Linked DNA regions of Callithrix jacchus. The protein of the gene in region 3 interacts with the protein of the main gene of each other region in a pairwise test. Links are inferred from orthologs where the notes say so. Each region holds a gene or a part of one and is shown on either strand. Other genes may lie near its edges.

Region 1 (4,238 bases), on a different chromosome or scaffold from region 3:
AATCTTGACAAATAGAGCTGGGGAAAGCCATAGAGGGTTTTCATGCTTGTATAACAAATAAGACTGATAACAAAACAGATAACAAAAAAGACTGCAAAAATCCCAACCTTGCACAAAGGCCATCGAACCTTGCGCAAGAAATACTTCTGCAAGGACATCTGCCCACCAACTGCTGTCCAACTTTAGCCTGGCATCACTCTTGCTATTGATCTTTGTAGCCAAGGATAATTATTTCAAAAACAATAGCGTAATCCTTATTTTTTTTTTTTGCTTTAAAATTCTTTGTCTTCCTTCACCTCCCTGAGAATGCAGTGTTCCTAAGGGAAATATCTTTTCTTTCAGAGAGTCTCTGTTTGTTCTTTAAGTTGACAACCACTAGGCAGGTTAAACAGTTAATGTTTACTGAGCACTTATTTTTTATACTTTTTGAGACAAAGTCTTGCTCTGTCACCCAGACTGTAGTGCAATGGCGCAATCTCAGCTCACCACAATCTCCACCTCCCAGGTTCAAGCGATTCTCCTGCCTCAGCCTCCTGAATAGCTGGGACTACAGGCATGTGCCACCATGTCCAGCTAATTTTTGTATTTTTAGCAGAGACGGGGTTTCACCATGTTGACCAGGCTGGTCTTGAACTCCTGACCTCAGGTGATCTGCCTGCCTTGGCCTCCCTAAGTACTGGGATTACAGGCATGAGCCACCATGCCCGGCCTTACTGAGTACTTAATATGTGCCAGAAGTTCTTCTAGGTGCATTTAATCCTTCCAGGCTCCCTATGAAGTTAAACTAGTATCATACTCATTTTAAAGATGGGAAAACTGAGGCTCTGGTGGTAAAGAGAACCCTAGTAAGTGCCAAAGCTAGGATTCAAACTCAAGCAGGCTGTCTTCAAAGCCCACACATACTGCCTCCCTTAATAGTAATGATTATTATTTTTAAATCATAACTTGCTTAGCTACAGTATTCTATAGTTTTTAAGGCACTTTCCACCCACTCTTTAATTTCTCACCACAGCAGCCTAGGGAGGGAGAAAAAGTTTACTCCCAATTTATAGAGGGGAGGGGGAAACAGGCTGTGAAAGGGGGAGCTGACTGGCCTTGTCAAGGTCACACAACGAGGTCAGTAGCAGAAGTAGGGCTGGAACTTGGAATTTTCCAAATTAGGACTTCAAATTTGGGGGGCCCTTCTCCAGTCTTGGCCAATTCCCAAGCTCCCCTAGTAACATGCCTTCTGGCTAGAGGCCTTGAGCCTCCCTCCCCAGGTCAGCTGTGCCTGGACTTCCACCCTTCAGCCGCAGGGTCCCAAGGCTGTGTCCTCCATACCACCACCCCCCACCCCCACCCTCCCCATCAGATGGGAGGGGCAGGAACTCCAGGGCTGGTGGAGTTTCCGACTAGGCAGGAAAAAGAACAAAGGAACTGAGGGGGGGTTGGAAGAGATGGCCAGGAGGGTGGCAGGAGTAGAGGGGACACTTCACCATGGAATATGAAGTCAAGAAAGGGAAGAAGGTAGGTGGGAGGTTGGGAGGGACGCAGGGAGAGGAATGTCCCCAAAGCTGGGGAAGGGGGCAGACTGGGGTGGGCGAGGGATCGGTAGTGAGGGCCCTAAGAGGGACCTTCCTTCTCATTTGGAAGTAACTTCCTTCCCACTCTTGGGCAGCCAGACCTTCAGGCTCTAAACTCCCTGTTTCTCCACTCTCAGTGGGCTCTGGCATCCCTAAAATGGACAGACAGGGACCTTCCCAGGAAACCTGGCCAGACAGACTTGCTTTGGGAGATTCTCCACACCTGCTTCCCTGCTATTTCTGGTGGCTCCCTCCTGCAGCCTCCCAGACAGACAGACAGACACCCAGCAGATCCATTCTTCTGCTCACCACAGCCCCAGACAGAAGGACCCAGCCGGGGCAATTCCGGTAGGAGGTCGCCTACCTAGGCTTGAGTCTCCCGCCTGCTTCCCTGCTCCTCCCCACCTTTATAGAAGGGCCTATGCGTAAGGCGTCAGCCAGGAGCCATTCCCCCACCCCCAGATCCTCACCCCTTCTGACTCTGAAAAGATTTCTGGTATGCTTCCCTGGGTGTCTCACCTGGTTGTCTTTGGAGTTCAGGGAGCCACTCTAATTTCAACTTCTATCTCACCCCCATTTCCACACTCCCCTCTCCCCTTCCCACCAGAAATGTGGGTCTGGGCTATTGTGAAAGGTGCCCACATGAACCACAGAGGGCTCAGAAGGGAGCCAACACATATGCGCATGTTTTCTCTTGGTTTGTTCTTTTAACAGATATTTATTGAGTGCCTATTATGCACCAAGCACTTCAGTTTTTAGAAGGCAATGAATAAATTAATGGAAAATTGCATAGGAGGGCTGGATGCAGTGGTTCACACCTGTAATCCCAGCACTTTGGGAGGCCCAGGCAGGCAGATCACCTGAAGTCAGGGTTTGAGACCAGCCTGGCCCACATGGTGAAACCCTGTCTCTACTAAAAATACAAAAATTAGCTGGCTGTGGTGGCACATACCTGTAATCCCAGCGACTAGGGAGGTTAAGGCAGGAGAATCACTTGAATCCAGGAGGCAGAGGTTGCAGTGACCTGAGATCGTGTCACTGCACTCCAGCCTGGGTGACAGAATGAGACTCTGTCTCGAAATAAATAAATAAATAAAAATTTACAGAAAGTCCTATACTCAGTGCTGAAGGACAGAATATTAGGGTACCCAGCCTTAGACTGGTCAGTTTGAGTTGAGAGCTGATGGGTGGAAGGAAAGGGGGTAGGGAAGAGTGTTTGGGGCAGAGGAACAGCATATGCAAAAGCCCCACAGTGGGAAGGAACATAGCACGCTGGAGGGACTGAAGGAGGACTGTAGTGGGGGCCCGGGGGACAAGAGTGAGACAAATGGGACTGGACAGGTGGGCAGAGCTGAGCCATTCAGGGCCACCAACAAAAATACCAACTCCACCCGATCCCCACCACACACACATATGCAAGACAAAGTCCCAGCTCCATAGCTGGCATTGAAGGCCTCTATATATTCATCTCATAATCTAGCCACGCAGACTGACTGCACATGGCTTCTCCAGGCTCACCCTCAACCAGCCTTTGAGGCATCCAGATTTCTGCATATGCCATGCCCTCTGCTTGGCATGTTCTCTCCCAAATAGTTTCCTCTCATTCCTCAGTTTCTACATACCCCATCCAGGTTCTATGATATTGGTTCTACTCTAAGTTAAGCACCCATTAGAATCACCTGAGGGCTTGTTAAAATACAGATCACTGGGTTTTACCCCCAGTTTCTGGGCCAATAGGTCTGGGGTGGGGTTCAAGGAATTGCATTTTTGGCCAGGCACAGTGGCTCATGCCTGTAATCACAACAGTTTGGGAGGCTGAGGCAGGAGGATTGCATGAGCCTAGGAGTTCAAGACCAGACTGGGCAACAGAATGAGACCTCATCTCTTAAAAATATATATATTAGCTAGGTGTGGTGGTGGTGCATGTCTGTGGTCCCAGCTACTGTGAGGCAGAGGGGGGAGGATCGCCTGAGCCAGAAAGAATTTGCAATTCTAACAGCCCCACAGGTTATGCTGATGGTTGTGGGGCTACACTTTGAGAACCACCAGTTTAGATCCTGGCTACTCAAAGTGTGGCGCACAGACCAGTAACATCAGCAACAAATGGGAGCTCGGGAGAAATGCAGAGTCTCAGGCCCCAACCCAATCCTGCTGAATCAAAACTGGAGGGCACATAAAGTTGGAAACTTACTAGTCTAGGTCATTTCTCACAAGCCCTGGAGGCAAGGATGGGGTCCAGGTCTCCACTGAATCCTCAGCACCCAGCACAGGGTCCAGCCATACAGGTGTGAATAAATGTTTACTGAATGAATAAGTAAATGAACAGATGTATGTGTGGACTTGTGTTCTGTTTACCCGAACAAGAATGTGAGCTCCTTGTGGGTGGGGGCGGGGAGGGGAGGGAGGGTTGTCTTACCTTACTCACACCTGACTAGTTACAAGAATTAAGTAATCACACCACACATTGACTCAGCGGTTTTCAGTTGAGCTGCCTTTTGAAATTCCCTAAGGAGGCTTTAAAAAACTTAACAGATTTAAGATTAAGTCCATTAAACCCAATGGCTCACACCTGTAATCCCAGCACTTTGGGAGGCCAAGGTAGGAGAATCATTTGAGCTCAGGAGTTCAAGACCAGCCTGGGCAACACACCAAGACCTCATCTCTACTAAAAATTTT
Region 2 (4,162 bases), on a different chromosome or scaffold from region 3:
CAATGAAGTTGTTTTTGTACAGGGAACGACATAAAGAAATCTGTCTGTTTAGGCCAGGGTGGCTCATGCCTGTAGTCCCAGCACTTTGAGAGGCCCAGGTGGGTGGATCACGAGGTCACGAGTTCTACACCAGCCTGGTCAACATGGTGAAACCCGGTCTCTACTAAAAATACAAAAATTAGCTGGGCATAGTGGTACGTGACTGTCTGTAAGCCCAGCTACTCAGGAGGATGAGGCAGGAGAATCTGTTGAACCTGGGAAGAGGAGGTTGCAGTGTCACCCAGGCTGAAGCACTACTGCACTCCATCTTGAGCTAAAAAAAAAAAAGAAGAAAGAAGGGACGGGCGCGGTGGCTCACGCCTGTAATCCCAGCACTTTGGGAGGCTGAGGCGGGCGGATAACAACGTCAGGAGATAGAGACCATCCTGACCCACATGATGAAACCCCATCTCTATTGAAAAAAAAAAAAAGAAAGAAAAGAAAAGAAAAATGTATAATGTTGAAGAAATCCGTGTGTTTAGAGTGTGTACATTCAATTACGGCTCAAAAAATTAGATGACAAAAAAGCACGAACGGGGCAGGCATGGAATGCAGACGTTGGTGTATTCACACTAGCGTTTTCAGAAAGCAGAGCTCCATCATCTCAGTCAAAGCCTGCCTAGTGTTTCCTACGTCATCTTCCTCATTTCCGCAGGGCCGGGGCTGGCAAAGAGGAGGTAGACCCGGGAGCCAACAATGGCTATCAATCCCACCAAACAGACTCGGCAGTGGGCTTGCTAAACAATGAAGCTGGTTCCAGAAGCGGACTCCGCTTCCCACCTCCTTGAGGCCAGATTGCTGACCCTAAAGCTTTTCTATGCAAAAACTAGCGGAATGCTTTTGAATGGAGGTTTCAGAGGCAGTCCTATTCTGTCCGGATACTTCCACATCAATGGGGGCTTATCTGCGCGAGGGACCTTTGCCATTCTTTCATCACTAATGGCTCACCGCCCCCAGTCTCCCCCATCGCCAGCTCCACCTTAACCTCCAACGAAATCAAATCTCCGCTTTACCGACCCGCAGCAGGCGGGGGGATGGGGAGTGGAGGGTGGGGGATGGAAACGGGCCGGGGTCGGGGTGAGGGTGGCCGGCCCCTCCCCCACCCGGCTGCTCCTCCAGCGACTCGGAACTACCAGTCCCGGCGTGCCCCGGGGCGGCGCGGGCGCAGGGGCGCGTGCGCAGCGGGCTGCAATTGGCTGGGGCAGCGGCTGCGCGGGTCGCGGTGCTGTGAGGTCAGCCGGCGCTGGCAAATCCGGTCCAGGATGTAGAGCTGGCGGTGCCTGACGGCACGTCTGACGTGAAGTTGGGTGGGGTAGAGAGTAGGGGGCGGTAGTCGGGGGTGGTGGGAGAAGGAGGAGGCGGCGAATCACTTATAAATGGCGCCGAAGCAGGACCCGAAGCCTAAATTCCAGGAGGGTAAGTGGGAGTCTTTCGGAAAATGGCACCTAAGGACGCAGGAGATAAAGGCGGGCTGGGGGTGGTTGAGGTTTGGGGGCTGGGGGCGGCGCGGGCTGCGCCCTGAGAAGGCGGTGGACTGTGCTTTGTGCAGGGAAAGGGCATTGCGGATGGTAATTCCAATGCGTCACTGTGAGAAAGCGCTTTGTGAAGCGAGAGCGCTACGCAGGCGTTAGAGCGGGAGAGCGAGCGTTTGGCGCGTGGCACACCTTCGTCGAGTGTTATTTTTCTGAGGAAGAGGGCGCGGAGAGAGCAGCCTATTGTAGGGAGGCGACGGGAGCGCCATGGCGGCGCTGAGGGGAAGTGATGTGGCAGCGGGGGCGGGGGGGGCAGCGGCCGTTTCGGGCGGTCCTGCGGGGCGCCCGGCCGCTTGTGCGGCCACGACTGGCGGTTCGGTGTTGCCTGGAGCCCCGCGGTGGCCGCGTTCGGGGGAGACTCGGAGCTGCGGAAAGGGGGGTGGGTTTGGCGGCCCGGGCGGGAGAACTGCGTTGTAAAATGGCCGTTGCAAAATGGTGGCGCCATCATGGCCACCGGCGTCTCGGCTCTGTGTGCAGGCGCAGCGCCCCCTTCTGTGACGACCGCAACGTTGCCAGGGCCCTCCGGTTCAGAGTGGTGGGTGGGGACAAAAAAAAAAGGTTCAGTGGGATGAGCGTTTTTCTCTGCTTTGTGTTGCCTAGAGGCATCACTTTGCTGTGCTTCGGCGCACTGCCAGGATCCTACCGTGATGTGAGTGCGCCCTCGCTGTGCAGTTGCTTGTAAAAAGTGAATAAAAATGAGCGGAATGTTGTGTTACGGCGTTTACATTTGTAAGTCCCACGGCCTCGACATTTTTTAAATGCAGCAATTGATTAGTTTGATTAGTTGCAGTGTTTAACAATCATCTGGAAGTTGAGTTTATTTTTAATTGGCTTTCGATGACGTTTTGGCTCAGGTTAGATTGGCTTCCAGTGGGAGGCAGCTCTACATTTTCGTAGCGCATCAATTAACGTATAATAAGGTGGAGGTCTAACAGCTAAAAAGGAAGTAAAATAATTTTGGAAAGGAGGAACACTTGAAAATTCCTTTTCATTGCTATGAAAATTTGTGCTAGTTACCTTAAATACGATGTCTACAAGTTTTTGATTTTTGTTCAAGGGAGTTTTAGACTTGCATTAGAATTCCTTTTAGAGCCGTAAACGCAAAACCAAAGTACTGCATATTTTAAGTTTATGGGCTATTTAAGGGGGCTTTGGGAGTATTTTTGTTAATGAGTGACTTCCTTTGTTTAAATTTTTGAGACGGAGTCTCACTCCGTCACCCAGGCAGGAGTGCCAGTGGCGCTATCTCGGCTCACTGCAACCTCTGGCACCCCCCCTCCCCCACCGCAAGCCTCCGACGTCAGCCTCCCAAGTAGATGGGATTACCAACTCGGGCTGCGACGCCAGGCTAAAGTTTTTTTGTTTTGTTTTTCGGTTTTATTGTTGTTGTTTTTATTTTGTATTTTTGATAGAGACGGGTTTTCATGTTGCCCAGTGTGGTCTCGAACTCCTGTCCTCAAGCGATCCACCCTCCTCGGTTTCCTAAAGTGGTGGGATTACAGGCGTGAGCCACCGTGCTAGACGGTGACTGACTTTTAATACCCATCTTCCACCTTGAGAAGGGGGGCTCTACCTTCTGTGGATTCATTATTTTACTAGGCAATTTAGAGCAGATACTCTTTTTTTTTTTTTTTCCTCCCTTAAAGGGGACCGAGGCCCCGAAGCGGGCCGATGGTCTTTTTATTTTTTCCCGAGACAGAGTTTGGCTCTTCTTGCCCAGGCTGCAGTGCAATGGCACGATCTCACCTCACCGCAGTTTTCACCTCCTAGGTTCAAGCGATTCCTTTGCCTCAGCTTCCCGAGTAGCTGGGATTACAGATGTGCGCCAGCATGCCCCACTAATTTTGTTTCTTTTCGTAGAGACGAGATTTCTTCATGTTGGTCAGGCTGGTACTCAAACTCCGGACCTCAGGTGATCCACCCGCCTCCCAAACTGCTGGAATTATAGGCGTGAGCCACCGCGCCCGGCCTCCGAGCAGATATTCTTTTTTTTCTTTTTTTTTTTTTTTTTGAGACGGAGTTTCGCTCTTGTTACCCAGGCTGGAGTGCAGTGGCGCGATCTCGGCTCACCTCAACCTCCCCCTCCTGGGTTCCGGCAATTCTCCTGCCTCAGCCTCCTGAGTAGCTGGGATTACAGGCACGCGCCACCATGCCCAGCTAATTTTTTTGTATTTTTAGTAGAGACAGGGTTTCACCATGTTGACCAGGATGGTCTCGATCTCTTGAGCTCGTGATCCACCCGCCTCGGCCTCCCAAAGTGCTGGGATTACAGGCTTGAGCCACCGCGCCCGGAGTCAGTGGATATAATCCAGAGGGCACGTGAATTTGAATGAGGAAGGTTTTTTTCCCCCCCCCATTTAGCTGAAGTTTAGCATTTCAATTTACAGTGTAAATCCTCCCCAACCACGGAAAAAATGAAACCCGCATTAGTATTTGCAGTATATTTTCATATCTCCGCATTACAATTGTGGAAGTTGCATTCAATTATCACTTACTCTTTCCTGTTTTTTCTACGTTAAGGTAGTTACTGGATTAGCCACTAAGTCTTGTTTAAAAATTAGTATCAAATAAGGAGCTAAAATGTCGTAGAA
Region 3 (3,559 bases):
GAACCTGGTCTCTCCCCTCAGCCATTCACCTGTGACCCCCTCAGTCAACCCCTGCTGGGAGTCCTCAACCAACCACAGAACACTCAGGGGGTGAGTGCCCCTCCAGAGGCTGCCCCCGCCCTCTCTGGCACCAGGTGAATCCAGCGCCTCTTTGAGCCTGCAGGATGCATCCCCCTCTCGGGCTGCTGCTTCCACTCCCCTCAGCCCCAGTCGCCTGCAGCAGCCCCCAGGCCTGGTGTGCAGATGGGATGAGGGCACGCAGATCCTACCTGTTCCTCAGGTACTCACCCAGCCACTGCCCTGCCATGCCGAGCCCTTGGCCCAGCAGCCTCTTCTCTGAGAGCATCTCTGCACCACCCCCAGCCTGGTGTCTCCCCACAGGTGGGGGTGGCGGCAGCCCTGGGATGTCATCCATCCCTGTAAGCGATACTGCGGGCAGTCAGCAGACAGGCCGGGAGGTGGCCCAGCCTGGCTCCTCCCTGGCCAGAGAGGCCGCCCAGCCCAGCCTGTGCTTCCCGTCCCGCCCGCTCTGCCTCAGCCTGGCCCTAGCTGCCCCCCAGATCTGCGCCTTCCGTCCCCACCTGCTCCCTGCTGTCTGGACCTGGGTAGCTCAAATGCCAGAGTGTCTTGGGCTGGAACTGACACTTTTCTCTCCCTGCCCGGCAGGTCCACCTCGACACAAACTGGCAGCTCCCTGCGTGACAGCCCTTGCCACACTTGTGGACCCTCTGCTGTCTATTCCCCTCCCATCAAGAGAAAGCTGTGGATCTCAGGGTCTAGAGTGCTGGGGTCGGCGACAAACCTGCTCTTTCAGACACTCTTCCTACACACAGGTGTCACACATGCTTCATAACCATAACCTTCATTTTCAGAGACTCAGTGGCACCTTCATGTGCTTCAAAGCCATTCCCTGGGACCCAGCGGAGGGATCCTGTGCCCCCACCCTCCCCCGCAATCTGGCCCTTCCCAGAGCACCACCGCCGGCTCACACTCCCTGAGCCCCTCCGGGCAGCCGCTGCCAGGGCCACTCAAGGTGCTACTTACATGGGGTGGGCAGGGGGCCAGGGAGAGATGGAGATGGGCAGGGCGGGGGCCCCACTGGCGAGGGGCCCTCGGCTTCTGGGGTCCCTGAGCCCCTCCTCACAGAGTTCAGGATGTCAGAGATCCTGGGGGCTGGGGCGGAACGGATCAGACGTAAACACAAGGCAGGCACGGGGGGCACACAGGAGAGAAACCCATGGGCAGACAGCCAAGCCAGAGAGTGGTGGGCACAGAGAGACAGAGGGATGGGGCACAAGGGGACAGAGGGGAGGGAGGGAGGATAGAGGGTGTGGGGGGAAGAAGTTGGACATGGGCCGATAGAGGGGATGTGGGGTACAGAGGGGAGCTTGGGAGACAGAGGGGAGCTTGGGGAACAGAGAGGGAAATGGGAAATGGAGGAGACTTGGGGGACAGAGGGGAATGTGGGGGGACAGAGTGGGATATACAGGGCAGAGTGGGGTGTGAGTGACAGAAGGGGTGAGGAGACCAAGAGTGATGTGGGGACAGAGGGGCATGTAGGGGATAGAGGGGGATGTGGGGGACAGGGGAGGGTGTGGGGGACAGGAGGGAGTATGGGGAGGAAAACAGAAACTCGAGGGAAAGAGGGGAATTTGGGGAACAGAGGAGGACCTGGAGGACAGAGGGGATGTCAGGACAGAGGGGGTACTTAGGGGGACAAAGAGGGATATGGGGGTAGAGGGGTTGTAGTAGGGACCAAGGGGACAAGGGGGGACAGAGGAGACATGGGGACAGAGGGTGCTGCTGGCAACAGCATGGTGCATGGGGAGGAGGCTGCAGGAGTGGAGGCAGATGCTCCCGCTCTTGGGTGGGGTGGGCTGAAGCTGCTGTGGACAGAGGGCACCCTGCAGGGAGAGGCCGCTGGTCAGCAAAAGCTGCCAGGTAAGTGGTCCTTGAGGAGCGCTGGGCGGAGTCACAGGGAGAGATGGGGGTTGCTGGTGGCACAGAGGAGGCCAGGCTGGGCCCTGTGAGGACAGCCCAGGTCAGCGGAGGCCAAGCCTATGATTCTCCATGATAGCCTGTTGGCGAGCTCCAGGGACCCTGGCCAGGGTTCCAGTTCTGGCACCTTCCTCAGCCTCTTAGACTGACGGAGGGCGCTCAGGGGTTGGGGTCATATCAGGAAACAGGGTGGCCCTGAGTGCAGGCTCCTGGGTACCATGGGCAGGGCCCCTGGGTGGGTGTACAGTCTGTGGGGGGGACAGTGGTCAGCAGAGAGGGCCTAGGGGGTTAGGGGGCCTCAGAGGGGCCAGGGCTGCCCCAGGCTGGGACAGACCCTTTTGGAAGGGTCCTGGGGCTGGACAGCCAGCGGGGAGTGGCAGTGGGAACAGGAGCCGTGGAGGGGGCTGGGCCCTGAGGGAGAAGCCAGGAGCGGCCCTGCTGGTTAGCGTGGTAGCCCACGGAAGCCCCGCCAGGGCAGGACGCCAGGCTGCGGCACCAGAGCAGGGTAGCTGGGCCGTGCATGCAGGTGGGAAGCTGCTGAGCGCCGGCCATTCGCAGGGAGCTGTCCGCAGCAGAGGCAGCAGGCCTGGGGGCCGCTACTTACATGGGGTGGGCAGGGGGCCTAGGAGAGCTGGAGACAGGCAGGGCGGGGGCCCCGCTGAGAGAGGGCCCTCGGCTTCTGGGGTTCCTGAGCCCCTTCTCACAGAGTTCAGGATGTCAGAGATCCTGGGGGCTGGGGTGGAACAGACAAGACGTGAACATGAGGCAGACAGACATACGAGGTGGCAACAAGGTGGAGGAGGGCAGTGGAAGGGTCCCGTGTCCTAGACCCCTTGGGCCCTGGGGTCAGGCCCTGAATCAGAGCTGCCTCAACAGCAAGAAACTCCCCTGAGCTGAGGTGGAGTGAGGCCTGGGCCTCCGGGACCTCCCATCCTGCCCAGCAGACTTGGGCAGCAAAGTGCTCCAGGACCCACGTCACAGAGGTGGGGCTCGCTGGGCTGAGGCCGCCCTGGGAAGCCCCACTGAGGGTTGTGGGGCCATGAGGCAGGAGCCAGGGTCCGAGCTTAGCCTGTCCTTGGCTCTGGAGTGGCCCCTCTAGGTGGTTGCCAGCCCTCCAACCTGACCCCCACAGCAGCAGGGCCCAGGCTACTTACATTGGCCTGGCAGGGGGCTAAAGGGAGCCGGAGATGGGCAGGGCAGGGGCCCTTCAGCTTCTGGGGCTCCTGAGCCCCTCCTCACTGAGCTCAGGATGTCAGGGACTCTGGGGGCTGAGGCAGAACAGGTGAGGCAGGCAGGTGGGCAGGGGCGCCCGCAGGAAAAGAAGGCGACTGGAGAAGGACAGGGGGAGGCCAGGAGGGAGGGCGGGGTGACAGCTGGATACCTGGGATGGCCACCCTGTGGGGATCCTGGGCCTGCAATGGCCACAGCAGGTATGTGAGGGCTGAGGGAGCCAATACGGGGCAGTGCCGAGCCAGAGCCAGCAGAGGACAGAGCAGCGCAGGTCAGTGCAGGCTGGCACGGAGTTAGAGGCCACCCTGCCACCCTAGTGCTGCGACCACCC
Region 4 (4,218 bases), on a different chromosome or scaffold from region 3:
GGCTGCCCCTGCTCCTGGGAGTTATAGACCATGTTGTGGGCTGCCTTCACGGTCCGGTAGCGGTGACCAGGATGAGGTACAGTTCCTTTAGAGCTACCTAGCTGAGTGTAAAATGGCTTGTTCAAATTGCACTGGGGAGCTGGAGTTGTGTGGGTTTTCATTTAAAGATGTGAGTACAAATCTATGTGTACTGTGGAAATTCGGAAAAGGTCAAACTGGCTAGGAAGCAAAAAGCTGACATTCCAGCACGTGGGTGCGGCCGCTTCTCCCCTCTAGGATGTTTTTTTGGTGGATTTATTTTTTTTTTTTGGTGACCCCCAGTAGCCTGGACTCCGTTCCGGGTCACATCCGTGTGCTGTAAAACACTGCATGTTTCAGGGTTCATCGCTGCAACACGTGCACCTCCAGGCTGGCGCTCAGCGCTGCCGGGAAAAGCCGCATCCGGCAGTGTGAACAGGCGCGGGCCTTTCCTCCTTCCCACCTCGTGACGCTTTGTGCCGCTGCAGCAAAACCCCGTTCCATTCCCCGTGTGCGCGCCCGTGTGCTTCCCGGCAGCCGCCACCAATGCTCCTTTCCAGGAAACAGACTTCCATTCTCTCTTAGGGCGGATCGCAGAGAGCCGCGGATGCGGGCGACCGGGGCCCGGGTGGGGTGGGGGCGGGGTGGGATTCGGGCCAGACAGTCAGGCGCCCCGGCCGGACCTTCCGCCGTGACCTCATCCGGTCGCCCAGGCACCGGGCGCGGCAGCGAATCGGCGGCGCGGGCGGCCGGGAACGCCCCCGCACAAATATTTACCGCCGCGCGGAGAGCGAGGCCTACGTCCGCTCCGCCTACGCCACTCGGCCGCTTCTCTCCGGACTGTCACCGGGTCGGACGCGGCCTCCACGGCTCGCGGGCCTTTCCCGTGCCGGCGCGGCCCAACCGCCACAGATCCTTCTGGAAGCGGCGCCCGCCGCGGCCCTCACGGCGTCAGAACCGGACACACGCGCGAGCCCGCGGCGGCCTTGGCGGCCCGGGGCACGGGAAGCGGGGCGGGGCCTGCGCGGGGGCGGGGCCTGCGCGGGGAGGCCGCGTTAGATTCGCCCCCGGCGCGCAGGCTCCGCCTCGCCGGCGCCATGGCTCCGCCTCTGCCCTCCCCCTCTATGGCGCCGCCCCGGCTCATTCATTCCGCGCCGGGCCTGCCAGACACCTGCGCCCTCCTGCAGCCATCCGCCGCCGCCGCAGCCGCCAGCATGTCGGGCCCAGACGTCGAGACGCCGTCCGCCATCCAGATCTGCCGGTAAGAGAGGACTCGCGCGGCGCCGGCACAGGCCACCCGGCCTACCCAGCTCGGCCCTGCGGTCCCCACCCGCCGAGGCCGTCCCCAATTCCCGGCACGGCCTCCCGCGCCGCCGCCCAGGACCCCGCCCGCCAGCGGCCGGGATGCGCCTTGCGATGCAGCACAAGCAGGGCGGTCCCCGCCCGCCTTCCGCCGGCTCCTCCCAGCCGCCTCTTGAGGGCGGCGGTTGCGCCACCGGCCATTTGGGCGAGAAAGCCGGGCAGGGACGGGGCGGGTGGAGGTCCGTGCACAGCTCCAGAGCCCGGCGGCCGGCGCCCGCGGGCTGCCCCGCCCCGGGCCTCGCCCGAGCATCTCGGAGTCTCAGCCCCGTGGTCCTGCTTAGCCTCCTGGAGCATTCGGGATCGTTACCTCGGCGGTTGTGCTGCGCCAACCAAAGCCCCCAGAGGTGAAGGAGAGGTGCCCAGAGCCGGGCGAGCCCCTCGGTGGGTGCCTCCGTGGGAGGAGGCTGCAGAGCTACCGTCTTCAGGGCACTGCTTCGGTTTAGGGGAGGGCGGGTGTTGAAAGGAAGAACAGATAATACTGTTTGCCACTGACAGTTTACTATCAAGAAAAGGGAATCAGTGGTCTGTTGGGCCTGAAAGCATCTTACACAATAGGGGCAAAGGGTTGTCCTTCTAGGGCACCCCCCCCCCCGCCCCCGCCGGCTTCCTCCACCGGGTACTGAGTAGATAGATGCAAGCCCCCAGCGGAAGCTGGAGGCTGGAGATCATGAACAAGCTCATTTCCCATAGGAGGTGGGGAGGGCAGCCTCAAGGTTACTCTGCAGTTCCCTTCGGTAGAATCGGAAGCAGATGCAGGCTGGCATTTGTGCATGAGCTAAGTGAGGACAAGGAGTCTAGGTTTTCAGCCACTGCACATGGGCACTATGGACTTCGACCGATCCTACCCTGCTTGATGAACTACCAGTAGTGAGAGCTGCTGTTTTGGTGGTGGGTGCCTCACGTTTGGGAGTTGGGCATCACAGATTGACCTTGGGCTCAAGCCAAGTCCAAGAAAAGCAAGTAACGTTCCCGTAGACATTGACCTCTCCCGGAAGGCTCGGCATATAGCAATATTCCTGGGTCAATGGACATATAGCAATATAGTCCTGGGTCAATGAAACTCCTTGACCCTCAGTCTCAGGCCCTCTTCTGGGCTGGTCGAGGGCCTTTCCTGCCGGTTTGATTTTTCCAGAGAGGCATCATCTTTGTGCGGAGCCCTGCCCTTTGACTTTGGCTGTGTGGCTATCCTGGCCCCATCACCTCTGGAGGTGGGGAAAGCGGAGCAAACATAATGGAAGTAACTGGAGACAGACGGCCTGCATCAGGTCTCTGAATCAGCTCTGCTGAGTATTGGCTGGGAACCTTGGGCTCCCTGGTTTGCAGAGTTTATACCTGTCTGATCTCACTTGGTTTGCCCAGCTTCCCTGGGAGGTTGATGGTCAGGAAGGCCACCTCTACCTGTATGGAGGAGGAAATGGCGGTTTCAAGAGTTGAATAATTGTGTAAAGTCATCCTGCTCCAGGAGCTCCAGGGACAGCCCCGCCCAGGTCTTCTGACTCCAGATCAGTGTTCTTCTCACACCTCTCCTGAATGAAGGAAGTCTTGGTTTAAATCTACCTGTGGAAGGCTGGGCTTTTATTTACTTCTTCAGGATGATGAATAGCCAGTTCATACATGTTATCTCTTTTCACCCAGGTTCTAACAGTTACTAGATTTTTTTTTTTTTTGAGACGGAGTCTTGCTGTGTTACCCAGGCTCGAGTGCAGTGGCACACTCAACTCAGTACAACCTCTGCTTCCTTAGTTCAAGCATGTCTACCTTAGCCTCCTGAGTATCTGGGACTACAGGTGTGCACCACCACACCCAGCTAATTTTTGTATTTGTAGTAGAGATGGTATTTCACCATGTTGGCCAGGCTGGTCTTGAACTCCGACCTCAGCTTCACAAAGTTGAGATTACAGGCATGAGCCACCGGGCCTGGCCAATTGCATATTGTTTCTAAGTGGCTGCTTTGGCCAGATGACTGGCGAGCAGGATGCCTGGCTGTCCCCTTCATGAGTGAGCAGGTGAGTCTCAGGTGCAGGGCATGACTGCCAAAAGAGTGGGTGGGAGTGGTGGTAGGATTAGGCCTGTGAAGAGAAGGCTGTGGTCACATGGGCTTGACCAGAGAAATGATAGGACACTGGAGAGTGACTGAACTAGGATGGGGAGCCCTTTAAGGACATCCAAGCCAACACCCCAAGCTGAAAGAGGAGACTCCTGGCCCATTATAGCCAAGCCCATGAATTTAACAGGGCTTCGCTGGACACCACCAAGAAGCATAGCACTAGCACCAGGAGGGCAACTGATGCATGGAAAATTCCGCCCCCGCCTTAACGGGTCACAGTCCAGCAGGGGTGAGGACGCCTATATCCCCACCATCTTGGACAGTTAGAATGGTCACATGTTCTCAGTTCAGACACTGTTGAAGGGATAGGGGCTTTTAAGGCTGGTGATGATGGCAGTGGTTATGGGCAGCTCTGCAATCCTAGGCTTGGGGGTGGATTTGGCCTTTGCCCCTTGCTAGCTGTGTGACCTGAAACACACTGCTTAACGTTTCTCTTCCCCCCTTTTCTCATGTGTTGTTCTGAGGCTAACTGAGGCTAAATCAAGTGTAGCGAGTGGCTGGTGGAGTGGCTGGCACATTGTAAGTCCAAGGAAGCTCATGGCTTCGGTTTGAATCCCAGCTCTTGCAGGTGGTATATGGCTTTAGGCACGTTCCTTAACCTTGTTCAACTTTTGTTTTCTTTTTTCCTTTTTTTTTTTTGAGACAGGGTCTTGCTCTGTCTCCCAGGCTGGAGTGTAGTGGTGTGATCATGGCTCACTGCAGCCTCTATCTCCCAGGCTAAGGCAATTCTC

The links. The genes of interacting proteins can lie anywhere in the genome.
Region 1: the proteins of CAMK2B (region 3) and CCM2L interact in binary tests that used the Homo sapiens proteins (3 or more experiments, as listed by UniProt). The two-hybrid records come from large-scale screens. The link is inferred for Callithrix jacchus from reciprocal best matches to the Homo sapiens genes CAMK2B and CCM2L.
Region 2: the proteins of CAMK2B (region 3) and MORF4L1 interact in binary tests that used the Homo sapiens proteins (3 or more experiments, as listed by UniProt). The two-hybrid records come from large-scale screens. The link is inferred for Callithrix jacchus from reciprocal best matches to the Homo sapiens genes CAMK2B and MORF4L1.
Region 4: the proteins of CAMK2B (region 3) and ACOT7 interact in binary tests that used the Homo sapiens proteins (3 or more experiments, as listed by UniProt). The two-hybrid records come from large-scale screens. The link is inferred for Callithrix jacchus from reciprocal best matches to the Homo sapiens genes CAMK2B and ACOT7.

Annotation. Positions count from the first base shown.
Region 1 is NC_133506.1:7,189,601-7,193,838, reverse strand, and holds the start of CCM2L (cerebral cavernous malformations 2 protein-like), read left to right. Parts: upstream 1-1,429; 5' UTR 1,430-1,476; coding exon 1,477-1,506; intron 1,507-4,238.
Region 2 is NC_133507.1:29,202,976-29,207,137, reverse strand, and holds the start of MORF4L1 (mortality factor 4-like protein 1), read left to right. Parts: upstream 1-1,353; 5' UTR 1,354-1,415; coding exon 1,416-1,455; intron 1,456-2,175; exon of another isoform or gene 2,176-2,266; coding exon of another isoform or gene 2,267-2,300; intron 2,301-4,162. UniProt on the Homo sapiens protein: Component of the NuA4 histone acetyltransferase (HAT) complex which is involved in transcriptional activation of select genes principally by acetylation of nucleosomal histones H4 and H2A.
Region 3 is NC_133512.1:12,305,755-12,309,313, forward strand, and holds part of CAMK2B (calcium/calmodulin-dependent protein kinase type II subunit beta), read right to left. Parts: intron 3,267-3,559; coding exon 3,153-3,266; intron 2,732-3,152; coding exon 2,603-2,731; intron 1,174-2,602; coding exon 1,045-1,173; intron 1-1,044. UniProt on the Homo sapiens protein: Calcium/calmodulin-dependent protein kinase that functions autonomously after Ca(2+)/calmodulin-binding and autophosphorylation, and is involved in dendritic spine and synapse formation, neuronal plasticity and regulation of sarcoplasmic reticulum Ca(2+) transport in skeletal muscle.
Region 4 is NC_133508.1:44,282,581-44,286,798, reverse strand, and holds the start of ACOT7 (cytosolic acyl coenzyme A thioester hydrolase), read left to right. Parts: upstream 1-1,409; 5' UTR 1,410-1,422; coding exon 1,423-1,724; intron 1,725-4,218. UniProt on the Homo sapiens protein: Catalyzes the hydrolysis of acyl-CoAs into free fatty acids and coenzyme A (CoASH), regulating their respective intracellular levels.